Linked DNA regions of Mus musculus. The protein of the gene in region 2 purifies or fractionates together with the protein of the main gene of each other region. This does not show direct contact. Links are inferred from orthologs where the notes say so. Each region holds a gene or a part of one and is shown on either strand. Other genes may lie near its edges. The genes, in order: Larp1, Fus, Snrnp200, Hnrnpm, Ctr9, Raly and Khdrbs1.

Region 1 (3,798 bases), on a different chromosome or scaffold from region 2:
CTTAATGCTGTTTCTGTCTGGCTATTATTTTTTGCTCTTATTCATACTGAAGTGCTGGCTCGCAGACCAAAGGAGAACCCATATAAAGAAGCAGGTAGTAGAGTAAGAGGGTTAGTGTTTTAGTAGCAGAATAGTGTTGGACCTGAGTTTCAAAAGAGGATTAGTTTGTTGGGCTCACCTGTGATAGCTGAAAGACTGGGTGATTTGACTCAAAGCAATAGTACATCATTTCTTTTCAGCCTTTAAGCCAGTGATTTTCAAACTTTCTAATGCTGGGACTCTTTAATACAGTTCTTCCTTGTGTTATGGTGACCTCCAACCATAAAATTATTCTTGTTGCTACTTTATAACTGTAGTTTTGCTACTGTTATGAATCATAATGTAAATATTTATGTTCTCTAGTGGTCTTAGGTGACCCGTGTGTAAGGGACACACCCCAGGTGTCACAACCCACAGGTTGAAAGACAGCTGCCTTAAGCTGTCCAGCAGGAGAAGAGTGAAGTCAGGAATGTGAGGTTGTGGGGACGGAGAGGGAGCAGGGAAGGCCCATAGCCCCTCAGTGATGCCTTTTTTCCCCTCCACTTAGTGAATATTACTTCAGCGTGGACAATTTAGAGCGAGACTTCTTCCTGAGACGGAAAATGGATGCTGATGGCTTCCTTCCCATCACCCTTATTGCTTCCTTTCACCGTGTACAGGCCCTAACCACTGACATTTCACTCATCTTTGCGGTATGTCTCTTCCTGGGGATGATGGTGGGAAAATAAGATCCTCATTGTGAGTCCTGAGTTGATGGGTAAACCCTGACAGAGTTCCCACTAACTGTTTCTACTGAGTCCCAAGGTGCCACCATGTTACATACAGCAAGCACCTCACCAACTTCAGCAAGAGTCAGCTATAGCTGATCTGCCTGTGTACCCTTCATCTGCTTTTCCTAGGTCTTCCTAGAGACAATCTAGCTAGCCTTTAGTAGCTACAACATCATTATCACTTCTACAAATAGAACAGGTCTATAACATCATCAGTTACCCCCTTTCAGATTCTCCTCAACTCCTGCTAAATGTTGTTAAAAAGGGGTTTTAAAGATTAGAGTCCAGGGCTGGAGAGGTGGCTCAGTGGTTAAGAGCATGGACTGCTCTTCCAGAGGTCCTGAGTTCAGTTCCCAGCAACTACATGGTGGCTCACAGCCGTCTGTAATGAGATCTGATGCCCTCTTCTGATGTGTCTAAAGACAGCTATGGTGTGTTCATATAAATAAATAAATAAATAAATAAATAAATAAATAAATAAATAAATAAATAAATAAATAAATAAATCTTTTAAGTGCTTTGGAAAAAAAATTAGAGTCCAGATCAGATCTGTGTATTGTCTTGTATTTCCGGCTATCCTTTTATTCTTCCTTGCTAATCATTTGTAGGGTAGACTAGGTCATGTATCCTATACATGCCTACATGTCTCATGGGACAGGTAACATCTCACATGTCTTGAGTTTGGATAACTTAGGGGCATAATGAGATTCAGGGCTTTGTCAATGACATGTGTCTTCTTTGGGGTAGCATATGACAATTATCTCCTGAGATAAAAACTACTGCAGCTATTACAGGGACACTTTTCTTAGGGCTTGCAAAATAGCAGTACTCTAATCCTTCAGTCAACCTTCCCTTAACTTTTGAGGAGAGTTTGAGGAGACCCTTGCTTCTCAGTTGTTCAGTTTACCAGAGGTAGACAAGAGGAAGAACAGGAAGGACGGGTTTATGGGTTTGACCCTGTTCACTCTGTGAACAGTTCATTGAACTCTGAAGTGGTTCCCCAAATCCTTGAAAGGTAACTGGTAGGATTTCAGGACTTTTCTCTTTAGCACTGTATGTTATAAGCAATATAGATTGCCCTGGATACTTTCTCATTTCATTATTGGATCATACTTTGCTTTGCACCCTGCTCCAGGTAGGCTGCCTTTAAAGAAACATTAATTCCTCTTCTGAGTAACTGGTTTGCTATTATTCATACTTGGCTGGTTATCGTTTCTAAGTTGAGTAAAACACTATAGGAGATGGCAATTTTTCTTTTTTAAGAGACAGTTTCTCTTTGAAGCCCTAGTTGTTCTGGAACTTGTTATGCAGATCAGCTTGGCCTGGAACACTTAGAATCCCACCCACCTGGGTCTGCCTCCCAAATGCTGGGTTAAGGGTGTGTACTACCATGCCCAGCTCCCCAACCCCCTTTAAATTCCATGTCCCAGATTGCCAATCCATTTGTTTTAATCTACAGTATATGCAGATTGATTTTTGCTTTCTTTTTGGTAATTTATATATAGTCAGGTGAATGCTACTCCGAGTCATGAGAATATTTTTTTGTGTTACTATTCCTTTAAATTATATGTATTAGTTTTATTTTGGATTCAAGTTTTGAGGATTCTATCAGTCATCATAATTCTAAATTTTTAAAAAATTAAGTAGAACAAATACATGGTTTCAAAGTCTCTACATGGTATATAAGTATTAAAACTGTCATTTTGGGGGAGGGGCATGCCCTCTTAGAGGCAAAGGGAGGTGGGAAAGGAGGTTCAACATTTGGGGTGTAAATAAATAAAATAATTTTTAAAAATTTGTAATTTTTACCCCTTCTGGAATCACCTCAGACAGTCTGCAACCTTTTTTTAAAATTTATATTTACACACACACACACACACACACACACACACACACACACACACACGGATTTTGTTTGTTTGAGACAGGATTTTTCTATTTAGTCCTGGCTCATCTGGAACTGGCCTTGAAGTCACATATATTCCCCTGCCTCTGCCCTAGCCTCTGCTTGCTGAGTACTGGGATTATAGGCGTATACCAACACTGCCTAGCAACACAGATAAATTCTTATTGGTTCTCTACTGGCCTATATTCATCTCCTCCTTTTCTTGCTAAATATGGTGATACATCACACAGGTATTTTACCACTTGTATTGTTTCATTTTATATATCTGGGAGCTAACTGCAAAGTGATGTATAAAATAGATGCATGCTTCCATTCTTTTTAAGTTGAGCAGTGCACCATCCATGGTGTTTCAACCATTTAGATCATGGTTGTTTCCAGGCCTCCTTTACAAGTAAGTAGGGAGGTGGGGGAGAAAAAGGGAAGGGGTTGTCTGTATATATGTCTGTCTGTCAACTCTATGCAGTGCCTGCAGAGGCCATAAGAAGGTAGTGAATTGGACTGGCGAGATGGCTCAGTGGGTAAGAACACCGACTGCTCTTCCTGAGTTCAAGTCCCAGCAATACATGGTGGCTCACAACCATCCATAAAGAAATCTGGCGCCCTCTTCTGGTGTGTCTGAAGTCAGCTACAGTGTACCTATGTATAATAATAAATAAATCTTTTTTTAAAAAAGAGGGTAGTGAATTGCCCCTGGGACTAGAGGTACAGATGGTCTGTGTGATCATGTGGGTTCTGTAAATGGAACCTGAAACTTATGGAAGAGCAGCCAGCTCTCTTAACTGCTTTTTACTAACATGCCGAGAACATATGTCTATAACAGAAGACCTTGTGTATTTAGTTTTCTGTTGGCAAAGATTTTTAGAAAGTAGGGTGGCTGATACAAAGGTGAAACTGCATAGCCCTTTGTAAAGTGTGTCTTGTACACTCTCTCTGCTTCTCTTCCCTGCACAATGCAGGGCACCACATGCTGAGCCTTCCCTTCCCTTCTTTCTCTCAGAAGGTTTCAGAGCTTACATAGAAGATCTTTAAGCTGGGTGTGAGGGCGCTTATAATTATTTCTAGTACTTGAGAAACAAAGGTTGG
Region 2 (4,469 bases):
TTGTTCTTCTTTTTTTTTTTAAATATCTTTTTAAAAAAAGATTTATTTATTTATTATGTAAGTACACCGTAGCTGTCTTCAGACACTCCAGAAGAGGGTGACCCCTCTCCTCTTCTGGATCTCGTTATGGATGGTTGTGAGCCACCATGTGGTTGCTGGGATTTGAACTCAGGACCTTCGGAAGAGCAGTCAGTGCTCTTAATCGCTGAGCCCTCTCTCCAACCCGTCATTTTTGTTCTTATCCACTTGGTAAACTCCCAGTAGAAATGTCATTCCCTCAGACCCATCCTAACCTACTCATTGCAAAATGAATTACCTGATCTCTGTGATCCCAGAGTCCCTGGTATTGGAATTACAGTTGGTTGTTTGCCCACATTCGGGTACTAGGAATTGAACCTGTGGTTTCTCTAGAGCAGCTGTCTCTCCAACCCCCTTGAATTTCGTTTTGTCCTTGAACTGACAAAAAGTGTTCATGCCTTTAAATGCTTTCAATCATTTCCTGTAACCAAGAAGCATTTTGTAGTTCCCCAGGCTTAGACTTTAAAGATCAGAAGGTCTGACCCTGAACTGCCTCGTACCTCATTCACATTCTTAGTCTAGCCGCTCACTGCTCTCATAAGATCCATCTCCCCTCCACCTCTGCCTAGCTCCGGGACTGGAGAGGTAGGCAGGGTCATGCACAGGCTAAACGATCGCTCTATCATTAAGCTACATTCCTCAGATTTCTTTACAAGATGATGATGGGGGAAAACCAGGACGACTGTAATTCCAGGATGCACAGGGCTAAGGCAAATAGGATCAAGGATTCGAGATCAACTGAGCGGTACTGAGAGGCCAAATTAAAAAAAAAAAGGGGGGGGGTAATTGTGGGTTTGAAGCCTCTTAAGTTGTATACATATGTGTTATTGTTGAACCAGCCTTAGGGCCATAGGGTCCAGACTAAAGCTCATCTTCTTCCAGGTTAAACGTCACAATCTATAAACCTTGTTAAGGTCTAAAGAACAGCAAGCCGAGGCATTCCTAAGTGAAAAACGAGACTGATCAGTGTGCTGTCTGTCAGGAGAGAATGTGGAGGACCAGAGCGACACTGCGTTCGACTCAGTTGCTAGGCCAGGGCAAGCGAAAGTATGCTGCATCTTCCCCAGTGAAAGTGGGGCCCAGCCGCTGGGCCGGTCGGAAGGATTTCGGTTCCCACACCCGGAGACTCCAGGCCTTGACTACACAGTTCCGCTCTCGGGCGCAGGGCCCTGGCACCGCCCCTAGCGGGAGGCCGGGTCGTACCATTCTGCCTCTAGTGGGGTAGAGGTGTGTCGAAGGCGAGCCCCGGGCGACGGACGAGAGCCACCGGCCGCAAGGAGAAAGCGCGTGCGAGTGTTTGGGAATAAAGCGAGTTCGTTTTCCCTCTTGTCTTCCTGAGCTCTCCGTATCCCCGGGGAAGGGTGGGGACCTGGGCGTGCCTCCCCCTCGCGCTTCTCCACTTGGTACGTCCCGGTGGCGCGTAGGCGGCAGGCGTACTTAAGGCGGGCGCGGGAGGCGGGGCCGCTCAGTCCTCGCGGCATCGCTTCGCGGTCGTCTGGAACTTTGTTGCTTGGCGGCCTGCGCTGCGCGCGTGCGCGGACATGGCTTCAAACGGTATGTGGGAGCGCGAGGCGGCGACGGCGCGTCCCTGCGAGGCCTCGTTCCCTCGCAGCAAGGCTTTTGGCTTTCGGCTGGGCCTGCGGTGGCGGGCGAGTGGGCTCCCCCACCTCTGGCGGGAAGCAGCGGGTGGAGGGAAGGGGAGGGCGGTGTCGCCATTTTGTTTGGCTCCCCTGGCGCCTTTGGCGCGGAGACCGTGGGTTTTCTCTCCTGGCCCGGTCACTTGAGTCGAGTGTTGAGAGAGACGCTGCCTGGCGACGTGGGGTGACCGGGGTGAGGGAGCTCTGGGTCTCCGCAGCTTCGCCCCACCCCCTCCCCTCCCTCCGTTCCCGGCCTCGCTTTGTCGCAGTGCTGCATCCGGGCACTTGGTGCGCGCACGCGCTCCTCTGGCCCCTCCCCCTTCTCGCCGCGGCCCCCCTCCCCCCCGCCAGGAGTTGGTCCGTTTTTTTTACTTTTTTCTTTTTTTCTTTCTTCTTCTTTCTTTCTTTCTTTCTTCTTCTTTTTTTTTTTTTTTTTTTTTTTTTTGTCGCGAGACCCTCGGCGGAAGACTTGTGGTCCGGTGCTGGCCTCGCCCTGCTCGCTGGGTCCCTTGGGAAGGGGCGGGGCCACCTCTTCCCGCCTCCGTGGCCGCGCAGCGGGAGCGGAAGCTCCTGGCTGGCCTGCGTGTCCGTGGGATTGGGAGGACCGCCAGGGGATGACCAACGGAGTCAGGGACCCCGGCCTGAGTTTCCCACTTCAGAGTTGAGTTTTCCTAAGGCCGGAAGGAAATCAGAGGAGTCGCTCTCCGAGGCCACACCCTCTCGCTGTCAGTTTTGTCCCAGTGCGGGGGTAGAGCTTGGGTTTCCTGCAGGGAGCTGCTGAGCTACAGCTTCCCAGATTGTTGAAAGTGCTGTCTGCTTTGGGTGCGCATGGTAGGCGGGAGCTCAGTTATTTGGAGCCACACGTCGGGAACCTTGGGAGCACCATGCCATTTGGGGGTTGGAGAGTCCCATTCTTCTAGCTGCTTCCTTGGGCTTGAACTCAACTGTGTAATAGCGCTGACTGTCAAAGTTAATCTTGACATCCGGTGATACCACCTTTCCTGTATACAGAGCTGCTGTGAAGATATAAAATGTGGTGACGTGTGTTGCAGGCCTTGGAAAGACCTGCAACAAGTCAAAAGGATTTTTAAACTTAAGGGATGATCTGTATTTTGAGTTTTTTTTTTTTTTTTTTTTTTTTTTTAAAGATTGAGCCAGGTTTGGTGGCACACACCTTTAGTTTCAGGACTAAGAGGTAGAAGTAGGCAGATCTATGTGAGTTCGAGGTGGTCTACATATTGAATTCTGGGATAGATACATAATCGAGACTTCTGTCTCAAAAAAGAAAAAAGGCAAAAAGGACATGATGTTGGATTTTTTTTTTTTGTTGTTGTTGTTTTTTTTCGAGACAGGGTTTCTCTGTGTAGCCCTGGCTGTCCTGAAACTCACTCTGTAGATCAGGCTGACCTCGAACTCAGAAATCCATCTGCCTCTGCCTCCCAAGTGCTGGGATTAAAGGCGTGCGCCACCACGCCCGGTCCGATGTGGGGCATCTTTAATCCCAGCATTTGGGAGGCAGAGGCAGATGGAGCTTTGTATGTATTAAATTGGAGGCCATCCCGGTCTACAGAGTGAGTTCTATGCAGAGAAACCCTGCCTCTAGATAGAGAACCAGTCCACCCACAGAGCTCTGTGGCTGTCATGCTTAGTGGTCGCTTGTTTAGTGGGTCCCAAGCAAGCCCTGGGTTCTACCCAGAACAAAAGTCTAAGACTTATTGGTGTCTAGAAATTTGTGCTTTCTTTGCTTTTTGTAATAAAACTTGGCCATTTTGTCTCATGAGGAACTAACTTATGCCTGTTTTTGTAGATTTGTTTCATCTGGAGTGCCTAGTACAAAAGTTGAAGAATTTATTTCTATTCTTAACTAAAATTAAGACCTTTTTCTTTCCCATCTTTTACAGACTATACCCAACAAGCAACTCAAAGGTGAGTATACTGTTTCTGGTCTGATGCTAGAAGACAGCAAGGGTGATTGATCTAACTTGAGTTTTATGTATTTCTGTATGCTTTTGTTCTTATTCTTTTAGTTGAAGATTACTGGTCTGTTTTCTTGTAGCTACGGGGCCTATCCTACCCAGCCTGGGCAGGGCTACTCCCAACAGAGCAGTCAGCCCTATGGCCAACAGAGTTACAGTGGTTATGGCCAGTCAGCTGACACTTCAGGATACGGCCAGAGCAGCTATGGTTCTTCTTATGGACAGACCCAAAACAGTGAGTTCTTAGTAGAACACATCTTCATTTCTTTATGAATGTTAACTTTTCTTAAACCTGAACAATACCGAAATTCCCACATTTTCCCTAAAGTTTTGTAGTCATTCTTTTAAAACAAAAATACTGATTTGTAATTGATTTTATATTGGACTATTTTCTTCCTGCTTACTATTTTTGTGAAAAAGCAAGTTTGCTAAAGAGAGAACCAGTTTAGAATGACGGATAGGAAGGAAATGGTCTGCTTGGGAATTCTTGAAGTTGGCTGACAATCTGTGATTCACAGAGGTGGTGCCATTTTTACCTCACAAGGGCAAAACATTTTTCTTTCCATATCAGCACATTTAAAATGTAGTTAGGGCCAGGAGTGGTGGCACACACAACTTTATCCAGCACTCTGGGAGGCAGAGGCTAGTAGATCTCTTGAATCTTGAGTTGGAGACCAGCCTGGTCTACAAGGTGAGTTCCAGGACAGCCAAGGGCTACACAGAAATCCTGTCTTGAAAAAAACAAAAACAGATTAAAATGCAGTTTGTAGGAATCTTT
Region 3 (3,798 bases), on a different chromosome or scaffold from region 2:
CTAGGGTGCGGGCAAGACCAACGTGGCCCTGATGTGTATGCTCCGAGAGATAGGGAAACACATCAACATGGACGGCACAATCAATGTGGATGACTTCAAGATCATCTACATAGCTCCCATGCGGTCCCTGGTCCAGGAGATGGTGGGCAGTTTTGGAAAGGTAAGTCGTATAACTTCTCCAGAAGATACTAACTGCAGCTGGTCATGTGCTAGGGAGGGGCCTATGCATTACTGCTTCTTTTGTTAGGGAAACTCTAGATATTTTTTGCCATTTCCAAGGTAGAATTTGACCCAAGTAATTTCTGAGGCAAAATTGTCTTGACCTGACTTACATGGACACCATCTTTGTTGTATTTTCTTAATGGACTCACTGCATCTTACAATATTTATGTGGAATGAATATGGTTTATAGCTTGTGGGTTTTTACCCCAGTTCCACTTTCCTGCTTCATGAAGGGCTTCCATAGATCCTTTGCCTCTACCCGAGTGGGATTTAAGTAACATTTGTTCATCTTTCCTGACTCACCAGATACTTAACTTCTCCTTGTCCACAGCACAGAAATGGCTGCCAGGCCCTTCAGGCACCGTCTACCATTCTTAGACGTTAGGCAGGCTCCCTGCCACTGAGCTGCATCTCCAGCCCCATCACTCAGTATTGCTGATGATGATTTCTTTCCCCAGCGCCTGGCCACATATGGCATCACTGTTGCTGAGCTGACTGGGGATCACCAGCTATGCAAGGAGGAAATCAGTGCCACACAGATTATCGTCTGCACCCCTGAGAAGTGGGACATCATCACACGCAAGGGCGGGGAGCGCACCTACACCCAGCTGGTGCGACTCATTGTCTTGGTGAGTGGGAGAGAGTGGGAAGGAAAAAACAACTGTGTCAAGGAGTGTTTGGCACTCTAGTTGGTGGCATGAACTTGGGAGAGTGGGGCCTAAATACGAGTCAGACTAAAGTCCCATGCACTAGCCAGCTTTATTCATTCAGACAATTTATACTCTGAGGGTTAACAAGAAGCACATGACTAAGGTGTTCAGTTGCAAGGACAAGGCCACACATGGCCAAACATGTTTTTCTAGAGAGGCATATGAATAACAATAGTGATATAAACTCACTTCTATACCCCACACCTGGGAGGAGCATGGAAACATGTTCCAGGAGTGACGATCATAAGACTCTGGTCATTTTTTTCTTGGAGTTTTCTCACAAGCACCCAAAATCCACACATGACTATTCTTGGACTGTGTTAGGACCAGGGAGCATTGGATTGCCTGTGTTTACTGGTTCTGTTCTTTTTTTGTTCCTTTTTTTTCCCCTATCCTTCTCCCTCTTGTTCCAGCCCCACTTGTTCTGGCTCCGCTTGCTCCAGCCCATAGGATTTTTATTTGTTTCTCATTATGGATGACTGTGAGCCACCATGTGGTTGCTGGGATTTAAACTCATGATCTCCGGAAGAGCAGTCAGTGCTCTTAACTGCTGAGCCATCTCAGCAGCCCCTAGTTCTGTTTCTTTTTTTTTTTTTTTTTTTTTTTAAGATTTATTTATTATATGTAAGTATACTGTAGCTGTCTTCAGACACACCAGAAAAGGGAGTCAGATCTCATTACAGATGGTTGTGAGCCACCATTGAACTCAGGACCTTTGGAAGAGCAGTCGGGTGCTCTTACCTGCTGAGCCATCTCACCAGCCCCCTAGTTCTGTTTCTTAATGCCTTTCTTTTCTTTTCTTTTCTTTTCTTTTCTTTTCTTTTCTTTTCTTTTTGGTTTTGATTTTCTATTTTGAGACAGAGTTTCTTTGTATAACCATGACTGTTGTGGAATTCTCTTTGTAGACCAGGCTGGCCTTGAACTCACAGAGATCCACCTGCCTCTGCCTCCTGAGTGCTGGGATTAAAAAGTGTGTGCCACCATGCCTAGCTTTCCTTAAGGCTCTTCTACGTGCATTTTCTTCATAAGAGTCACTGTGAGCTTTGCTGTTGCCATTAAAACCATAATCTGTATGTAACGGAAGCCTCTTAGACATGCATGCTGTTTGCCACATGCCCCATTGCTTTCTATATCTGATTTTTTTTTTTTTTTAATTTGGCTTTTGGGAAAGACTCTCTATGTAGTCCTGGTTATCTTGGAACTTGTTCTATAGAATATGAAATATTTTGAATCAAATGAAAACACACAAAAATAATTTTGTCCTCCAAGACGATAGAAATGTTTCTTTATAAAATAATCCATTGTCACAAAGGATAAGTAAGGAATTGGGACTTTGCATTCCCTTTACATAGAAGTATCTACAGGGAGTGGACTTTGAGCCTGACGGTTGAATCTGTTTTGTTGTTTTTGCTTTTTGTAATTAATTGCATGTGTTTATTTTCTGTGATGTTGCATGGTGTGTGTGTGTGTGTGTGTGTGTGTGTGTGTGTGTAGGTCAGAGGAAAACTTGTGGATGTCAGTTCCCCTTCCACCATGCGTGTCCTCTATGAATCAAGCTCAAGCCGTCAGGGTTGGCAGCCAAGTCCCTTTACTCTTTGAGCAGTCTCCCTGGCCTCCAGCTTGATTCTTTAAGCTGTCTAAGAAAGCAGGAAAGTAGTTCATAGTCTGTGTTCAAAGTGGAAGTTGGCAAAACTATAGCTATAAGTTTTTCTTTTAATGAACACAGTTATATAGATTGGTTTATGCACTTCTTATAGCTATTATTGTCCTGCTGTGGCTGTGGCAGAACTGAGTTGTTTTTTTGTTTTTTTAAGATTTATTTATTATCATAAGTACGCTGTAGCTGTCTTCAGATGTACCAGAAAAGGGTATCATCAGATCTCAGTATGGGTGGTTGTGAGCCACCATGTGGTTGCTGAGATTTGAACTCAGTACCTTTGGAAGAGCAGACAGTGGTCTTAACTGCTGAGCCATCTTGACAGCCCAGAACTGAGTATTTTTTAACAAGGGTTACATGGCTCACTAGCCTACAGTATTGCGTGTGTGGTACCAGATGTTCAGCCCTTGAAGAAAAGGTTGCTCACCTCTTTTTTAGAGCCTTGCTCTCTGACAGCCGCTCCTACGGGTGCTGAGTCCCTGGCCTGCCCACAGTATCCGCAGTTCTCCCAGTGCTTACTGTATCTCAGAAGCACTGCTGTTGGCGGTGTAAACTTACTGTGCGTAAAGCCCACAAGGGAAGGCTTCTTTGCTCTAACCTGGTCAGAACCGTCATGTATTTGTAAGGAGATTTGTGGTATCATCAAAGGACTCACTCACAAGTGTTAAACAGTCCACACTCAGTGTATATTTCTACTAAAAGCTGTCTTTGTTCTTTAGGATTCCTTGGCTTAAGGGTCCCTCTCTTGTCTTTACTCGGCATGTTAAGACTGTATACTTGTACAGTTTGCATCTTTCTGTTCTTTAGGATGAGATCCATCTTCTACATGATGACAGAGGTCCTGTCTTAGAAGCTTTGGTGGCCAGGGCCATCCGAAACATTGAGATGACCCAAGAAGATGTCCGACTCATTGGTCTCAGTGCTACCCTCCCCAACTATGAAGATGTGGCCACCTTTCTGCGAGTCGACCCTGCTAAGGGCCTCTTCTACTTTGATAACAGGTATAAAAAGAAACTGGAAACTTGTTACCCAGGCAGTCTTCCTGTTCCCTACTCTTCTCTAAGGAGCATACTATTGAGTTTTAGGGTTCCTGTGTGTATTTTAGAAAGCATTGTTTCTAGGTCAATGGAAAGTAACTTCTCTCACAGTGTTCTCTGCCAGAAATCTCATTTGTATAACTGTTGAACTTCTAGCTTCCGCCCCGTGCCT
Region 4 (3,798 bases), on a different chromosome or scaffold from region 2:
AGACCAAGAGTCTTTAGTATTTCTGAAATATCATGTTTTCTGGGTAAAGCAACCAGTAATAGTCTCCTGAGTTTAATTTCTGTAGTTATGTGTGACATACTCACTGTAATTAAAAAGATGTAACCCGAGGGCAAGCCTACAGCAAGGAAAGGGATCTCTTCAAACAACGTCTCTCTACAACAGACAGAGTCCATAAGGATATATTATAAAGAAATAAAAGCCTCAGTTCTACCGGGCGTGGTGGCGCACGCCTTTGATCCCAGCACTTGGGAGGCAGAGACAGGCGAATTTCTGAGTTCGAGGCCAGCCTGGTCTACAGAGTGAGTTCTAGGACAGCCAGTGCTACACACAGAAACCCTGTCTGGAAAAAAAAAACCAAAAAGAAAAAGAAAAAAAGAAAAACCCTCAGTTCTCATAAATGGTTTATTTCCTAAACTCCTCTGAAAAGAAAAGACCATTCATAGCATGTGTCTATGATACAACCACACCTTTTATCCATCTGTGTTCTACTCCAGAAAAATTTCAGATTCCATAGTAATCTATTTACTCTAGTCACAGAGAAAATAGTTACTTCTACCTTGTTGTCGTAATATACCTAGGTATGCTATTGCCTAACAGTGCTGGGGGCACTGTTTGCCATGAGCTGAATTCCCACAAAAGGATACATATTGCTTGCACAGCTTCAATGGACTGTTCAAAAGTCACAATGCCTATTCCACGACTTTTCCCATCTTTATCTTCCAGAATGTCTGCTCGGACCACCACACCAGCCATACTAAATACTTCCTTCAGTTTCTTCCAGCCAACTTTATAATCCAGCTAGGTGAAAGAAGAAGGTGAAAACTTCAAGGTAAACTTCTCTGGGGAAAAAGACACACTTTTACTATATTAAGATTGCTTTGACTGACTTTACAAGAAAATTAACTTCAGTTGAATTTTTAAATAGGACTGCAAAACTGGGCCTTAACTCTGCTATTTATTGCCTCTCTTCTTAAATGGAACAGAATAAGTCTCCTCACATTTAACAAGCTTTCCCCCTCATACTTAAAAAAGTCAGCAGGATGGTGGTGGTACCTGCCTTTAATCTCAGCACAGAGAAGGCAAAGGCAGGTAGATCTCTTGAGCCAAAGGCCCACCAATGCAACACCACTGAGAAACTGTCTTGAAAATCCCAAAAAGTCACTCTCCTTTTAAGTCTTTCCCCCCTTTTAACTTGTGAACCCACTCAGTTCTAAAAGTATTTGTCCTTGCAGAGAATAAAAATATCACCATTTACTCTAGATACAAAAAAAATGTGAAAATATTGATGGTCTATCCATTCTTCCCTTTACCTAAATAAACCCCAATTAAGGACGCGTACCCAGCTACTGCCTCTGTAGCATCAGAAAGCCTTAGGAAACAAGACCCTAATAGGACTGAGGTGAATCCTGAAGCCACAAATGCAGTGGTCACAAGAACAAAGTAGAAGGCCTACTTAAAATGAAAACAAGCTATCTACCATAAGTCTAACTTAAATTACTCGTATAACAGTGATACAATCAATATAAAGTGTTTTGTACATTTTTCTAATTTGTTTTCATTTTATTTAAAATTAAATGCACACTATTTTCACATTATTTCCGTCCCTCCCTATTTTTCTATTTTAGAGAATGTTCCCATTTACTTACATTTGCTACAAATACTGTGCTTCCAAGTCTTCCAGCCTGTAATGCATGGATAATCTCATTTGGGATGTTAGGATTATTTAGGATACTGGGTGGGATATTAATCATTCCTGGGCCACCTGGTCCCATACCCATCCCACCAGTCGTAGCCATCACCTTTTGCATTGCTCTCCTTGCATGTTCACCATCAGGATCCTGAAAAAAGCATAAAGCGTTACAGCTAGAAGTAGGTCAGAAGTAGGCTTGCAGAAACTAGTGGAACTGCTGCCTTCACCACTACAGAGGCTCTCGTCTGCTGAGGTGCAGCTCAGTGATAGAGTTTCTGCCTAGTATTCCTAAGTACAATCCCTACCCCCAATCATTAAACAAATAAAATAAAAAAGGCTCCCAGTAAAGCACAGTAGCAGTGGTGGTAAAGGTCTGTAACCTTAATTCTCAGGATTGCTACAGCAGCTCAAGGTCAAAGCTGAAGTAAAAAGCTTCAGGGAGGGCTCTGTCACAGTCCAGTCTGGTACCTCTTGCTGTGTACTCGAAGTCTGTCTTTGGATACGACTTAGAGTGGCAGACCTTATCATACGGCACAGTATACACCAGCCACTCCCATTACCAACACCAAAAAAAGCAAACAAAAATCTGCAGACCAACAGACAGTTTGAAAGGTATTTCTCTAATTATTAACAAATGAAATAAACCACAGCAACAAGAAGAGTTCTAGGAAGAGCAACAGTTCAGAAACAAAAAGCATAAAACTAAAAATCTAAAAACAATCTTCAATTTTAACTAAAATGAACGGGTAAGGGATAAAGGATTGGCTGACCAGAGTTAAAAATGCCAGATTGAAACAAGATCTTCATGGGCATGACTCTTACTAATTAGTGTTACTTATGTAAAACTCATCAATGATTTTTCACAAAGTCTTAAATCATCATTCTATAATCCAAGGTTCCCTAAACCCTTCAAGGGCACCAGTGTTGGCATTCAAGTACAGTCAATGCTGTGTATCAGTACCTGAACAGACTTATGGAAATTTGATGCTGGCATGACTATCTATCTTACTCTTATCTGTGTCTATGTGTCCATATAGAGGTATACAGCACATGTACGTGCACTGTGTATTTCCTGCTTGAGTGCTGGAAATCAAATGCAGATCCTCTCTGGAAAAGCAAAAAGCACTCCCAACCACTGAGCCATCTTTACAGCGTGACCCAATTCCTGAAGCCTGCCTCTTCAATTTACCATTAACACGTAAGAACTGACTTATACCTGACCATGCTTTCCTCAGAGTCTCAAATATGCTGTATTCTTCCAAAAGGAAAAGGTCTAAAAGAGCTGCCTTTAATCTACACACTCAGGCAGCTAAGGCAGGAGGATCATGAGTTATAAATTACCCTGGGATACACAGCAAAGAACTAATTTCAGATATTTTAACACTGTTCCCCAAATACACACACAGTCAAGGAGGCAAATAATATTTGGCAGTTAATAAAATATCCTTCTATAGAAAAAAAAAGTATAGTGGCAATCTTGTAGGCACAAAGCCCTGGGTTCAATCTTTTCCGCCACCACCACAAAAACAAACAATGAAACAAATAAAAACCCCATGGTTTGGATTTAATAAAGATGAATACATTCATTTTATAAAATTCAAAGAGGGATAAGATGGCTCAGCAGGTAAATAAATAAGCATTAATACCCGAGCTCAGATCCTCAGTCACCCAAGGGGGGAAAAAAAAAAAGCTGGGGTTGTGGGGCACGCACATCTAGGAAGGGAATGGGAAAGCAATCCACTGGCCCACCAGTCTAGCTTCAACAGTGAGGCCAGGTTTAGTGAAAGCACCTATCTCAAAATCTAAGGTAGAGAGACTGAGGAAGAAAAACATTCACTACTAGCATGGCCACCTGTACACACATGTGTACACATAGGTACATACTACATAGACAAAAATAAAGAGGCAGGTGTTCAGTGACACATCACTGCAATCATAACACTTAGGAAGCTGAGACCACCAGAAACAACAACAACAACAAAACAGATGGGCAACAAAAGAGAATAGTGTTCTGGTTGGTGGATATAAAGACTTCCTAACACAATTCCAATTCTAAAATCCAGAGGCTCAGGTTTTGTATTTCTAAG
Region 5 (3,798 bases), about 17 Mb from region 2:
TGAGCTCTCCCTTCCCTGCCTCCCATACTGAGCTCACAGACGCATGGCCAATCTTGCGTGAGTAGTGGGGACCTGCACACAAGTCCTCATGACTGCCAAGCTCTTTCTAACTGAGCCGTCTGTCTAGCCTCTGCCCAGTTTCTTGATGAGTAAATTGAGGCAGGTTACAAGCTTAGAGCTTGATGCTGCATCATTCTTGATTGCTGCTTGTTACAGTTATGATCATTACACACATTATTATATCACATAGTTATTATTTATTGAGGTTAACTGTTACAGTGCTAAAGTTCAACTATTTAGGGAGAAGATGAAAATATACCTTATAGCTAAATGAAATGTTACCAATTACTAGTCAAGCAACCTTCTGACATCACTCAACTTTTTTCCGGTATCAAATTCAGGATTATAGTAAAGTGCAGCACCTGGCTCTCCACGCATTCCACAACACCGAGGTGGAGGCTATGCAAGCAGAAAGCTGTTACCAGCTGGCTCGGTCCTTCCATGTTCAGGTGAGACCATTGTCACCTTCCTAAGTAGTCCTTAACTTAGAGGGTTTCAGGCTTCTGGCCACTTTGACGTGTTGTTGGTCTTGTCTTATTCTCATTTCTCAGGAAGATTATGACCAAGCCTTTCAGTACTACTATCAAGCCACACAGTTTGCTTCATCTTCCTTTGTCCTACCATTTTTTGGTTTGGGACAAATGTATATTTATCGAGGTGACAAAGAGAATGCATCTCAGTGCTTTGAGAAAGTTTTGAAAGCTTATCCGAACAATTATGAAACTATGAAAATTCTTGGCTCTCTCTATGCTGCTTCAGAAGATCAGGAGAAACGAGACATAGCCAAGGTGTGTTCTAAGTCTTAGGTACCCTGAGACTCCAGCTGTGGCTAGCACAGCTGTGAGCAGTATATGGGGCTTCTTACGCAGCTTACGGTAGCCATGTTTAAGGTTGTCATTGCTTACTTTGACAGTGTTATTTTAATGATCTCATTTATCCCAGGGCCATTTGAAGAAGGTCACAGAACAGTATCCTGATGACGTGGAAGCTTGGATTGAGTTGGCCCAGATCTTAGAACAGACTGACATACAGGTATTAATGTCTGCTCTTTATATCCTAAATGATGTGTTTTAATAAGCTGGTGTAGGGTTTCTCTTTGATCTGTGAGTAAATCTTACTCTGTCTACGGTCAAATGCAGGGTGCCCTTTCAGCTTATGGAACAGCCACACGCATCCTGCAGGAGAAAGTGCAGGCCGATGTCCCTCCCGAGATTTTGAATAATGTTGGGGCCCTCCATTTTAGACTCGGAAACCTGGGGGAAGCAAAGGTAAAGAAACAAAACCTTCCTTTTTTCTATGCTTGACCAAGCTGCAGGCACTTGCTCAGCTGTATCCATAACAGTGCCTTTTCTTCCTCACAGAAATACTTCCTGGCCTCACTGGACCGCGCAAAGGCAGAGGCCGAGCATGATGAACACTACTACAATGCCATCTCTGTCACCACATCCTACAATTTAGCCAGGCTCTATGAGGCCATGTGTGAATTTCACGAAGCAGAGAAACTGTACAAAAACATTTTACGAGAGCATCCTAACTACGTTGATTGTAAGAATTTTAGGCTTTTTTGGGGGGGAGAGAATGAGAATGAGAGAGATTATTCCTAAGTTCCCATAATAACAGTAAAAACTTTTTAGGAACGAAAGTCTTTGTTAAAGATGCAGTCTGGAGTGGTAGCACTCTTCTGTCATCCTAGTACTCGAGAGGTAGATGCAGAATGGATCAAGAGTTCAAGGCCAGCCTCCCTACCTAGCAGGTTTGAGGTCACCCTGGCCGTGTATGAGGCCCTGTCTCAGAAACTGAAGTAAGGGGCTCAGGAGATGACTCAGCAGTTAAGGGCACTAGCCATTCTTCCAAAGGATCCAGGTTCAATTCCAGGCACCCACATAGCGGTTCACAACTGTTTGTAACTCCAGTTCTAAGGGACCTGACTCACTCACACAGACATACATACATGCAGGCAAAACACCAATACTCATTTTAAAAAAAAATGAAATAAAACTAACATTGCAGTTTCATTTACTTATGCTGGGAATTACAAGGATCAACAAGAGTCACTTGAGTTGTGCTCAGTAGCTGTGAGTCTGCTGCTGCCGGGCTGCTGCAGGCGAGCTTCACTAGTTAGTGGGCGTCATCTGCAAGCGCTCTTCCTTCACTAGAGGGTTTTGTTTTTGTTTGTTTGTTTTTTTCTTGAAACAATTATTACTAAAATGTCCTAGTTTGAGTTTTTACATCCAAGGCCCTGTAAATGATTGGCATTTCAAAACTAATGTGTGTTCTCTGTGGCAGTTTCTTCTCTCCTGGGCTTCACTCTCTGTAGTTTCATTTGCCTACACTCAGCTCTGCTCTCAAAATAGTAGATGAAAAAATTCTATACATAATTCCTAAATTTCAAATTGTGGACCGTCCTGCATGTGGTGCTGAGACCTCATGGCTCTCCACTCCAGCCAGCCCAGGATGTGCGTTGTCCCAGTACTGTCAGTTGCTGAGCAGTCATTTCAGAGAGCAGCTTGACTGTGGGGTACCAGAATTTGTGTGCAGTGATCCTTACAGTATTTTATAGTGATCCAGCCACATATCTTTAATCCCAGCACTCCAGAGGCAAAAGCATGGGGGTCTCTGAGCTCCAGGCCATCTTGGGCTACATAGTGAATCACAGGCCAGCCAAAGCTCAAGCATAGTAAGACCAGGGTCAAAATAGAAAAGAAAAAAAGAAAAAGAAAGAAAGAGCGACCTAGTGGTGCAGTTTTTCTTTCTCCTAGCTAGAGTGATGTGTCTCCATGTGTGGGGCTTTTCTCTTCTCTCTGAAAGTATTAACAAAATTCAGCTGTTCCAAATGTCAGACTTCAGTGTTAGGACCCGTTAGACATGAGATTGTGAAAATGAATTAAACGTGCACTTTCAGGCTATCTACGCCTAGGAGCCATGGCCAGAGATAAAGGAAACTTCTATGAAGCTTCAGACTGGTTTAAGGAAGCCCTTCAGATCAATCAGGTTAGTGGTATTGACTTGGTTTCAGAAATCTTCTTCTTTTACCTTTCAAAATCAGTCTGTCAGTTCAGTGGCTGTGATGTTTCCCGTAACCATGGCATCTCTGGGTTTAGTGGCTTGTTTTATCTTTGTCTCACTTGTTAAAGACTTTAAAGAGAATAATAGTTTGTATGATTAGTCATCTCATAATCAGAATCTTTTTTTTAAGTATATAAAACTATTTCCCTTCTATTTTTCTCTTCCTTGTCTGCCTCCTGTCTCCTGTACTCAGCCCGGTAGCCTGCTGAGAACAACTTCCAGAGTCAGTGTCTTAGCATTTGTAGGTTATCTGAGTTTCTGATCGTGGCTCACAGTAAGAAGGCTACACATTAAAAGACAGCTTTGCCGGGCGTGGTGGCACACGCCTTTAATCCCAGCACTTGGGAGGCAGAGGCAGACAAGATTTCTGAGTTCGAGGCCAGCCTGGTCTACAGATCGAGTTCCAGGACAGCCAGGACTACACAGAGAAACCCTGTCTCAAAAAACCAAAAAAAAAAAAGACAGCTTTACAAGTTGTTAGTTACTCTTCCTGGTGGGCAGCACAGTTATCATTTCCTTCCATTCTGTTGCACTATGTATGCTGATACAGGCACCACATTGATCTTGCAGTTTGCTAACAGGTCTCAATTCTCAGTCTGAAAGCCACCATTGTGGTTTAGCTTTAAACCTTTTCAGCTATTAGCCATTTTGGGAAAGATGACTGATTTTCTC
Region 6 (3,798 bases), on a different chromosome or scaffold from region 2:
CCAGTCTTACCTTGAAGCTATGGGCTTAATGTAGCCCCAGAGACGTTTGTTTGCTGAGAACAGTTTTCAAACTCATTATCCTCCTGCATCTGCCTGTTGAGTGCAGAGACTACAAGACTAATCACAATACCAGCTCCTGACCAGGTCTTGACTAGAAGTTGTAGTAAAGTTTGAGTCAGACCTCTTCTTCCTTCTTTCTCCCTCAGACAGCCTAGGGAAAAGAATTTTTCTGAACCATTTTCTCTGCTGTGAGTGTTTTCAGTAAATAATGTGGTACAGTGGAAAGTGCTAGAGCCCAGAAGGGAGGAGATTGTATGCTAATCTAAACTCTGCCAGTGAATGGATTATCTGGCTTTTGGCAAATTCCCATTCTACTAGTCAGTAAGACAGGCTTACACCAAGTGACCTCTCAGGATTCCTGTATCTCTGGAATTCTATGGTTCTGTGATTTCTGACCAAGGCCAGAGTCATCACCTCCTCTCGTGGGTCAGGTCAAATGCAGGATCAGGTATTGCATTCATTCCCAGAGACTGATCACCATCTGCCACCAGTTGCAGGACTCTTTGAAAAGAGCACCAAAAAATTGGACTTTTTGAGTTTCATACTGATGGCAGCTACCATGACTAATTCAGAAAATAGTTCCTGACCAAGGCTGTGGTTCCCTTCAGAACCGTGGTAATAGCAGACTTGGTGGGAGAGCTTCCTACTTAGTCTTCTAAGTTTTTGTCTTGTATTCAGAAAAAGTAGCCCTTCTGGAGAGGGCCAGGTTTTGATATTAGCGTGAGAACACACAATCTGGAAGCTTTGGATCTAATTTATATGCCCACCCTTGAAATGCTGTTAAGTTCTTGGCCTGTATCTGAAGAAAAAGTGTGCTGAAGTGGTCCACAGGAAAGAAAGGCCTTAGAGTCTGGAGTCCTGGGCTTCTCTGTTGGGTAATCAGTTCCCTGGTGTCCTGGATTTCACTTGTTAAACCTTCTCAGGTGTTTTTAACCAGGTTCTCATGTTCTACCCTTACTGTACACACAGGTAGACCGTGAATAGCCATCCTCACTAAGTAGTTGGGAAAACCAAGGTTCAGAGGGTGGAAGCTCATGCTGTTGTGAGATTTACAAACTGATGGTGGCAGTTGTGAGTAGAGGGCAGGCCTCAGTGACCTCAGGACAGGCTCCTTTCTGACACTGAGCTGTTTGTTCCTACACCGCTTCTCTTGGCCTGCCTGGGAGTAAGGTGGGAATAGTAAGGATTTCATCAGCCTTCAGGCTCCAGAAAGCCCTTTTCACACCAGGGCTTCTTGGAAGACCATTCCTCCCTGGCCCTCACAGGCTACACAGGTAAAGCTAGTGTTGTAGTGCCTACTGGTAGTCACAGGCCATGCTGCAGCCTCTGGTCTATTTACCTTCACAGGCTGTTTGATTATCGAGGCCGCCTTTCTCCAGTGCCTGTGCCCAGGGCAGTTCCGGTGAAGCGACCCCGTGTTACAGTCCCTTTGGTTCGCCGTGTCAAAACTACGATACCTGTCAAGCTCTTTGCCCGCTCCACAGCTGTCACTACTGGCTCAGCCAAAATCAAGTGTGGGTAACATCTAGTTTTTTATTTTTATCTGTGTATCTCTAGCTGGCCTGGAACTCATGTAAGCCAGACTACCTAAAACTTAGAAAGATTCTTTTGCCTTTGTCTCCTGAGTTCTGGGATTAAAGATGTGCACAACTACATTGTGGTGACATACTTTAATCTTTCTAGATCAGTGGTTTTCAACCTGTGAATTGTTGACTCCTTTGAGGGTTGCATATCCTGCATATCAGATATTTACATTACAGTTCATAATAGTAGCAAAATTACAGGTATAAGGTAGCAATAAAGTAATTTTATGGTTGAGGGTCACTTGCAGCATCAGGAGTCGAGAACCCCTAAGCTAGACGGTTTGGTTTTTACCACCACTAAAATGATAGAATTCCATTTTTAACAATTGATTTTTTTTTAATATTTTATTTTACGCATATGGGTGTTTTGCCTGCATATATGTCTCTGCACCATTTATATGCAGTGCCTGGGAGGCAAGAAGCAGGTGACAAGTCTCCCCTGACTGAAGTTACGGGTAACTTGGGAAACTCAGGTCCTCTATAAGGGCAGCCAGTGCTCTTAGCCACTGAATCACCTCTCCAGGCCCTAGAGTCATGCTCATTGTTGTTGTTGCTTTATTTGTTCATTTGTTTTATTTTTTGAAACATGGTTTCTCGCTGTATCCCTGGCTATCCTGGAACTCACTCTGTAGATCAGGCTGGCCTTGAACTCACAGAGATCTGCCTGCCTCTGCCTCCTGATTGCTGGGATTAAAGACCAGCAAATTCCCTCCACCCCTATGCCCCCAGTAAAGCATACTTTCTTAACATTGAAAAAATAAAGGCTCAGGGCTGATGAGATGGCTCAGCAGAAAAGAACACTGGCTGCTCTTCCAGAGGTTCTGAGTTCAATTTCCAGCAACCACATGATGGATTATGACCAACTATAAAGGGATCGGATGCTCTATATTTGAGTGCAAGTACACATACAGAGCATACTGACATTTAAAAAATACAGAAATAAACTAAAAATAAAATAAAGGAACAAATCCACAGTTGAAGTTACTGCTCTTACACAACTGAGTCCTTTGGAAAAAGTCAAGTGCTGTGGTGTGAGACCCACTGAAGAAATAGCAATGTTTTTTTTTTTTTCTCTAGTAAGGAGAAAGTAAGGGCAGTTTTATTCTGATCTCTGTATACTTCATTAAGGCACCCAGGAAATCTAATTGCAAAAGACCCCCTGTATCTTTAAAAACAGACCCCACCCTATATAACACAGCTAAGACACATGCCATTCCGTAGGTGTTTATAGGAACATCTACCACTTACATTCCTAGTCACCTGTAGTCCCCATAGGATTGAGAGGTCTCAAATGGCCAGGTTCATATGTATGGGCTTGGCACTGTATGGATGGCCTCTCAGTTCTCTGAAGAAGAGACCTTTTCCTGGGCAGAAAAGAACCAGAAAAATAATTGCCACTCTAGTTGACAGAATGAGGCTGGGTTTGTTTGCATCATGCCCCTAAGTGATAATCCTGTCTCCTCTCTATTCTCAGTAAAGAGCAGTGAGCTACAGACCATCAAAACAGAGCTGACACAGATCAAGTCCAACATCGATGCCCTGTTGGGTCGCTTGGAACAGATTGCTGAGGAACAGAAGGCCAACCCAGGTCAGCTTTGAGGGCAGCCCTGGGGAAGACAGTGCCGGAGGGTTAGGGGCCGTGAGATCCTGCTGTGGAGTGGCCAGCTCTCACCGAGGTGTGCTAAGTAGGCTGCCCCAGCTGAAGTTTGTCCCTTTCCCACTTCTTTTATCCTTCAAGATGGCAAGAAGAAGGGTGACAGCAGCAGTGGTGGAGGAGGAGGCAGCAGTGGTGGAGGCGGCAGTAGCAATGTTGGTGGTGGCAGCAGCGGCGGCAGCGGGAGCTGCAGCAGCAGCAGCCGGCTACCAGCGCCCCAAGAAGACACGGCTTCTGAGGCAGGCACACCCCAAGGAGAAGTCCAAACTCGAGATGATGGTGATGAGGAGGGACTGCTAACACATAGCGAGGAGGAGCTGGTAAGGGTCTGGCTACGTGTGTGTGTGACCTGGAAGGGCTGGGCTGTCAAAATGGCGACAGTAGAAGAACCAGAACTGGCTGCTCCGTGTGAGCTCCCTCCTTTCTGCTTTCTAGAGCCTCAGTCCTGTGAGGAGTAGGCAAGAATGAGCTGAGTGTAGTTCACTGTTTGAGTCGCTGATA
Region 7 (3,798 bases), on a different chromosome or scaffold from region 2:
CTCCCAAGTGCTGTGATTGAAGTCATAGGCCATCATCAAGCTTGACTATATGATATGCTCTTAGAATTAAAATTCATTGTGGTTAATATTTATTCAGAAAGTAGACCTGTCTGAGGTGCTGTGATCCACGATTGAGCCCAGAGAATCTTCTGGTTTAGGTCCTTAAATGTATATTATTATTTTGAAGTCAGTTTTAGAGTTAGAGATGTGCCACAGTTAATAGAGTGTTAGCCTTGCATGCATGTATCTCTGGGTTTGATCTTAGCACTATGCAAACGCCAGGGTATGGTGACACAATTATAATCCCAGCACCTAGGAAGTGAAGGCAGAAGTACAAGGTCATCCTCGGTTTCGTACTGGGTTCAAGACCAGACTGGATTATGTGAAACCTTGTCAAAAACAGAAAGGAAAAGTAAAAAAGGACAAGCAAGAGATGCAAGCTCTGACTTACCAAGTGTGGCTACAGAGCCATCCTTTAAGGAATTAAAATTAGGGGCTGGAGACATGGCTCAGTGGTTAAGAGCACTGACTGCTCTTTCAGAGGATATCAGTTCAATTCCCGGCAACCACATGGTGGCTCACACACATCTCTAACTCGAGGACCCAACACTCTCTTGTTGACACCTTCTTCTGGCCTTTGTGGGCACAGAGTGTTACATAGACATGTCTGCATGCAAAATATCCATACACTTAGAATAAAAATACTCAAGTGTGCATATATACTGGCACATGCCTTCAATCCCAGCACTCAGGAGGCAGAAACAGGAGGATCTCTGAGTTTGTGGCCAGCAGAGTGAGTTCCACACAGAAACCCTGTCTTGGGGGTAGTGGGAAGAACTTTAAGGTTAACTGGATTTGGTAGCACACAGCTTTAATTTTAATACCTAGTAGAGGCAGTGGCGGGTGGATTTATTTGTATGAGTTCCAGAGCTACACAGGAGGCTTTGTCTCAAGTAAGTAAGTAAATAAGTTGTAAAATGTAAAATCATTCTACCTCCAGAATTTATGAACAATCCTTAGTATGAATGTGGACTAATTATTAAATTCTCAAATTAATGTAAATTTTCTTTTTATAGAGGACGTGGTGTTGGACCACCTAGAGGAGCTTTGGTTCGTGGAACCCCAGTGAGAGGCTCCATCACCAGAGGTGCCACTGTGACTCGAGGAGTGCCACCCCCACCTACTGTGAGGGGTGCTCCAACACCAAGAGCTCGGACAGCTGGGATTCAGAGAATACCTTTGCCTCCCACACCTGCACCAGAAACATACGAAGATTATGTAAGAATTGTTTGAACAATGCACCTTTTCTTCCATACCTAGGTTGCCAGAGAAGTTGAGTGATAAGAGTCTTACCCTTGCATGTAACTAGAAAATTTGGAATCTGCATTCTTAGTCAGTTGATTTTTGAACTATGAGATGATTTTTGTACTATTTTAGGCATTATTACTATGTCTGAATAAGCTAAATAAGAAAGTTGTGGTTTGCTGGGCATGGGAGGCACTTGGGAGGCAGAGGCAGGCGAATTTCTGAGTTTCAGGCCAGCCTGGTCTACAGAGTGAGTTCCAGGACAGCCAGGGCTATACAGAGAAGCCTTGTCTTAAAAAACAAAAACAAAAACAAAAAAAAAAAGAAGTTGTGGGTTCAACATACAGACGTTTACTAAGATTGTAATATTAAAACAACCTTTTGGGTTTTGTATTCACTCCACAGGGGTTATTAGTATTTTTGAGAATTTTCCGTAGCCTGTTCATGCACAAGCCCACGGCCCTGTGGCTGTGATTCTCCTGTTTATGCTTTTCTGACCTTCTTCTTTATTGTTCCAGGGATATGATGATACATACGCAGAACAGAGTTACGAAGGCTATGAAGGCTATTACAGCCAGAGTCAAGGGTGAGTCAGGCAAGAAGTCATGTCTGTATAGTGTCCCAAATGGGTGGTGCATGAAGTTGCAGAGAATAAAGATTTGGCTAAACTCTAACCTAAGGAATAGTGTAACTTAACTTATTAAAAGTATTCCCTATGCTTTTGATGACTTGCAGGCATATTTGTGGGTCTGGGAATTTGGATAACTGGATTTTATGTTAATTGAGGTTTTGAAGCTAGTTGATGAACAGTTCTCGAGCTACAAAGAATCAGAGAAAAATACCATTAAATCATTTTTATTAAGAAATGTCACTCAGGTCTAGAAGGAAGTGGGGCAGTTGGTAGATGCTGCCCCAGCATGCATGAAGTCCTGCATTTCATCTTAGCATGGGATCAAGAGTTCAAGAACATCTTGGCATGCAGGAGGCTTTATCTCCTGACAAATCAGATCACCACCCACCTCACCCACACGGGAGATGAGGTAGAAGCTTAACCTAGGTTTTGTTTTTTTGTTTTGTTTTGTCTTAAAATACAGCTTTGATTTTGTGTATATATGTGTCTTGCCTATGATTGCTTGGAAAAGAATCTCAGACATTTGTGATAGGGACAAAACGACCTTTTCCTCTTCTCCTCTGATGAGCTGTATGAATTTTACATACATGATCATATTTTAAGAATCACAATTTAGGTTGTTATTTTTCCACATTAAATTGTATGATACATGTTTATTGTTTTCCCCCCTTGCTATACTTAATTAGGCTTTTTGGTAAATACATGATTTATACATTTTTTAACTATTGGGGTTAGGAATGGAGCAGAATATATATTTATCCCTATTTTATAGATAATAAACTGTCCGAGATGTGGACTATTGAAAGAATGGTAACAAAAAAAGCCTTTACTGTTTTGTTTTTGTATTTTCAGGGAGTCAGAGTATTATGACTATGGACATGGGGAGCTCCAAGATTCTTACGAAGCCTACGGTGCGTTTCTATGTTTATGGTGGGGTAAATGTGCAGTTAAGTGTCTGGGAAAATATTGGCTGATGGAGTCTTGGGAGTCAGGCGATCACTTCTCTGAGGAGATTCCATTAGAAGACTGCTGAGGTGGTCGATGTCACTTTGGGGTTCTGCTCTCAAATCCTATGGTTTGTGTGTCCTGGAGATTAGGTCTTGCAGTGCCACAATGGTACACTTCCCATGTCTCGCTGACTGGTTTCTGTTAGGTAATGCATGCCTAACTCAGCTGGTGGTGGGCCTTTTGCTACTGATACCCTTGGCCATGTTGGTAGAATTTTTTTTTAAAGATTTATTTACTTATTATATATAAATACACTATGTCTTCAGACACACCAGAAGAGGGAGTCAGATCTCATTACAGATGGTTGTGAGCCACCATCTGGTTGCTGGGATTGGAACTCAGGACCTCTGGAAGAGCAGTCAGTGCTCTTAACTGCTGAGCCATCTCTCCAGCCCAATGTTGATAGATATTAAGAACTTTTTTTTTAAAGCTCTATTCTCTTTCCCCCTTCCTCAATAAAAAGAAAAAAATTGGAACTCTCTGAAAATAATACTGTTGCAAAGAAAATGCCAGCTGAAAGCAGCTTAGTAGAGCCGACAAGTAGGGGAAACAGTACCTGTTGAATTAAATCAGGTTTTCAGGACTGGGGCTGTACTGACTGGTTTTGTGTGTCAATTAACACAGGCTGGTATTACCACAGAGAAAGGAGCTTTGGGAAAGTGCCTCCATGAGACCCAGCTGTAAGGCATTTTCTCAATTAGTGATCAAAGGGGGAGGGCCCCTTTTGGTTGGTGCCATCCCTGGGCTGGTAGTCTTGGGTTCTAGAAGACAGCAGGCTGAGCAAGCCAGGGGAAGCAAGCCAGTAAGAAATATTCCTCTGTGGTCGCTGCATCAGCTCCTGCTTTCTCAGCTGC

What was found.
Region 1: the proteins of Fus (region 2) and Larp1 purify together in Homo sapiens (affinity purification with mass spectrometry; 3 studies listed by BioGRID and IntAct, with this or other methods). This does not show direct contact. The link is inferred for Mus musculus from reciprocal best matches to the Homo sapiens genes FUS and LARP1.
Region 3: the proteins of Fus (region 2) and Snrnp200 purify together in Homo sapiens (affinity purification with mass spectrometry; 3 studies listed by BioGRID and IntAct, with this or other methods). This does not show direct contact. The link is inferred for Mus musculus from reciprocal best matches to the Homo sapiens genes FUS and SNRNP200.
Region 4: the proteins of Fus (region 2) and Hnrnpm purify together in Homo sapiens (affinity purification with mass spectrometry; 4 studies listed by BioGRID and IntAct, with this or other methods). This does not show direct contact. The link is inferred for Mus musculus from reciprocal best matches to the Homo sapiens genes FUS and HNRNPM.
Region 5: the proteins of Fus (region 2) and Ctr9 purify together in Homo sapiens (affinity purification with mass spectrometry; 3 studies listed by BioGRID and IntAct, with this or other methods). This does not show direct contact. The link is inferred for Mus musculus from reciprocal best matches to the Homo sapiens genes FUS and CTR9.
Region 6: the proteins of Fus (region 2) and Raly purify together in Homo sapiens (affinity purification with mass spectrometry; 3 studies listed by BioGRID and IntAct, with this or other methods). This does not show direct contact. The link is inferred for Mus musculus from reciprocal best matches to the Homo sapiens genes FUS and RALY.
Region 7: the proteins of Fus (region 2) and Khdrbs1 purify together in Homo sapiens (affinity purification with mass spectrometry; 3 studies listed by BioGRID and IntAct, with this or other methods). This does not show direct contact. The link is inferred for Mus musculus from reciprocal best matches to the Homo sapiens genes FUS and KHDRBS1.

Annotation. Positions count from the first base shown.
Region 1 is NC_000077.6:58,043,320-58,047,117, forward strand, and holds part of Larp1 (la-related protein 1), read left to right. Parts: intron 1-586; coding exon 587-731; intron 732-3,798. UniProt on the Homo sapiens protein: RNA-binding protein that regulates the translation of specific target mRNA species downstream of the mTORC1 complex, in function of growth signals and nutrient availability.
Region 2 is NC_000073.6:127,965,946-127,970,414, forward strand, and holds the start of Fus (RNA-binding protein FUS), read left to right. Parts: upstream 1-1,533; 5' UTR 1,534-1,619; coding exon 1,620-1,632; intron 1,633-3,616; coding exon 3,617-3,641; intron 3,642-3,771; coding exon 3,772-3,926; intron 3,927-4,469. UniProt on the Homo sapiens protein: DNA/RNA-binding protein that plays a role in various cellular processes such as transcription regulation, RNA splicing, RNA transport, DNA repair and damage response. Binds to ssRNA containing the consensus sequence 5'-AGGUAA-3'.
Region 3 is NC_000068.7:127,218,349-127,222,146, forward strand, and holds part of Snrnp200 (U5 small nuclear ribonucleoprotein 200 kDa helicase), read left to right. Parts: intron 1-4; coding exon 5-160; intron 161-680; coding exon 681-851; intron 852-3,396; coding exon 3,397-3,590; intron 3,591-3,782; coding exon 3,783-3,798. UniProt on the Homo sapiens protein: Catalyzes the ATP-dependent unwinding of U4/U6 RNA duplices, an essential step in the assembly of a catalytically active spliceosome. Plays a role in pre-mRNA splicing as a core component of precatalytic, catalytic and postcatalytic spliceosomal complexes.
Region 4 is NC_000083.6:33,664,827-33,668,624, forward strand, and holds part of Hnrnpm (heterogeneous nuclear ribonucleoprotein M), read right to left. Parts: intron 1,860-3,798; coding exon 1,668-1,859; intron 820-1,667; coding exon 666-819; intron 1-665. UniProt on the Homo sapiens protein: Pre-mRNA binding protein in vivo, binds avidly to poly(G) and poly(U) RNA homopolymers in vitro. Involved in splicing.
Region 5 is NC_000073.6:111,042,415-111,046,212, forward strand, and holds part of Ctr9 (RNA polymerase-associated protein CTR9 homolog), read left to right. Parts: intron 1-401; coding exon 402-509; intron 510-611; coding exon 612-848; intron 849-1,002; coding exon 1,003-1,092; intron 1,093-1,199; coding exon 1,200-1,328; intron 1,329-1,421; coding exon 1,422-1,605; intron 1,606-2,962; coding exon 2,963-3,051; intron 3,052-3,798. UniProt on the Homo sapiens protein: Component of the PAF1 complex (PAF1C) which has multiple functions during transcription by RNA polymerase II and is implicated in regulation of development and maintenance of embryonic stem cell pluripotency.
Region 6 is NC_000068.7:154,860,433-154,864,230, forward strand, and holds part of Raly (RNA-binding protein Raly short isoform), read left to right. Parts: intron 1-1,407; coding exon 1,408-1,574; intron 1,575-3,117; coding exon 3,118-3,231; intron 3,232-3,381; coding exon 3,382-3,617; intron 3,618-3,798. UniProt on the Homo sapiens protein: RNA-binding protein that acts as a transcriptional cofactor for cholesterol biosynthetic genes in the liver. Binds the lipid-responsive non-coding RNA LeXis and is required for LeXis-mediated effect on cholesterogenesis.
Region 7 is NC_000070.6:129,718,132-129,721,929, reverse strand, and holds part of Khdrbs1 (KH domain-containing, RNA-binding, signal transduction-associated protein 1), read left to right. Parts: intron 1-1,076; coding exon 1,077-1,278; intron 1,279-1,823; coding exon 1,824-1,891; intron 1,892-2,788; coding exon 2,789-2,847; intron 2,848-3,798. UniProt on the Homo sapiens protein: Recruited and tyrosine phosphorylated by several receptor systems, for example the T-cell, leptin and insulin receptors. Once phosphorylated, functions as an adapter protein in signal transduction cascades by binding to SH2 and SH3 domain-containing proteins.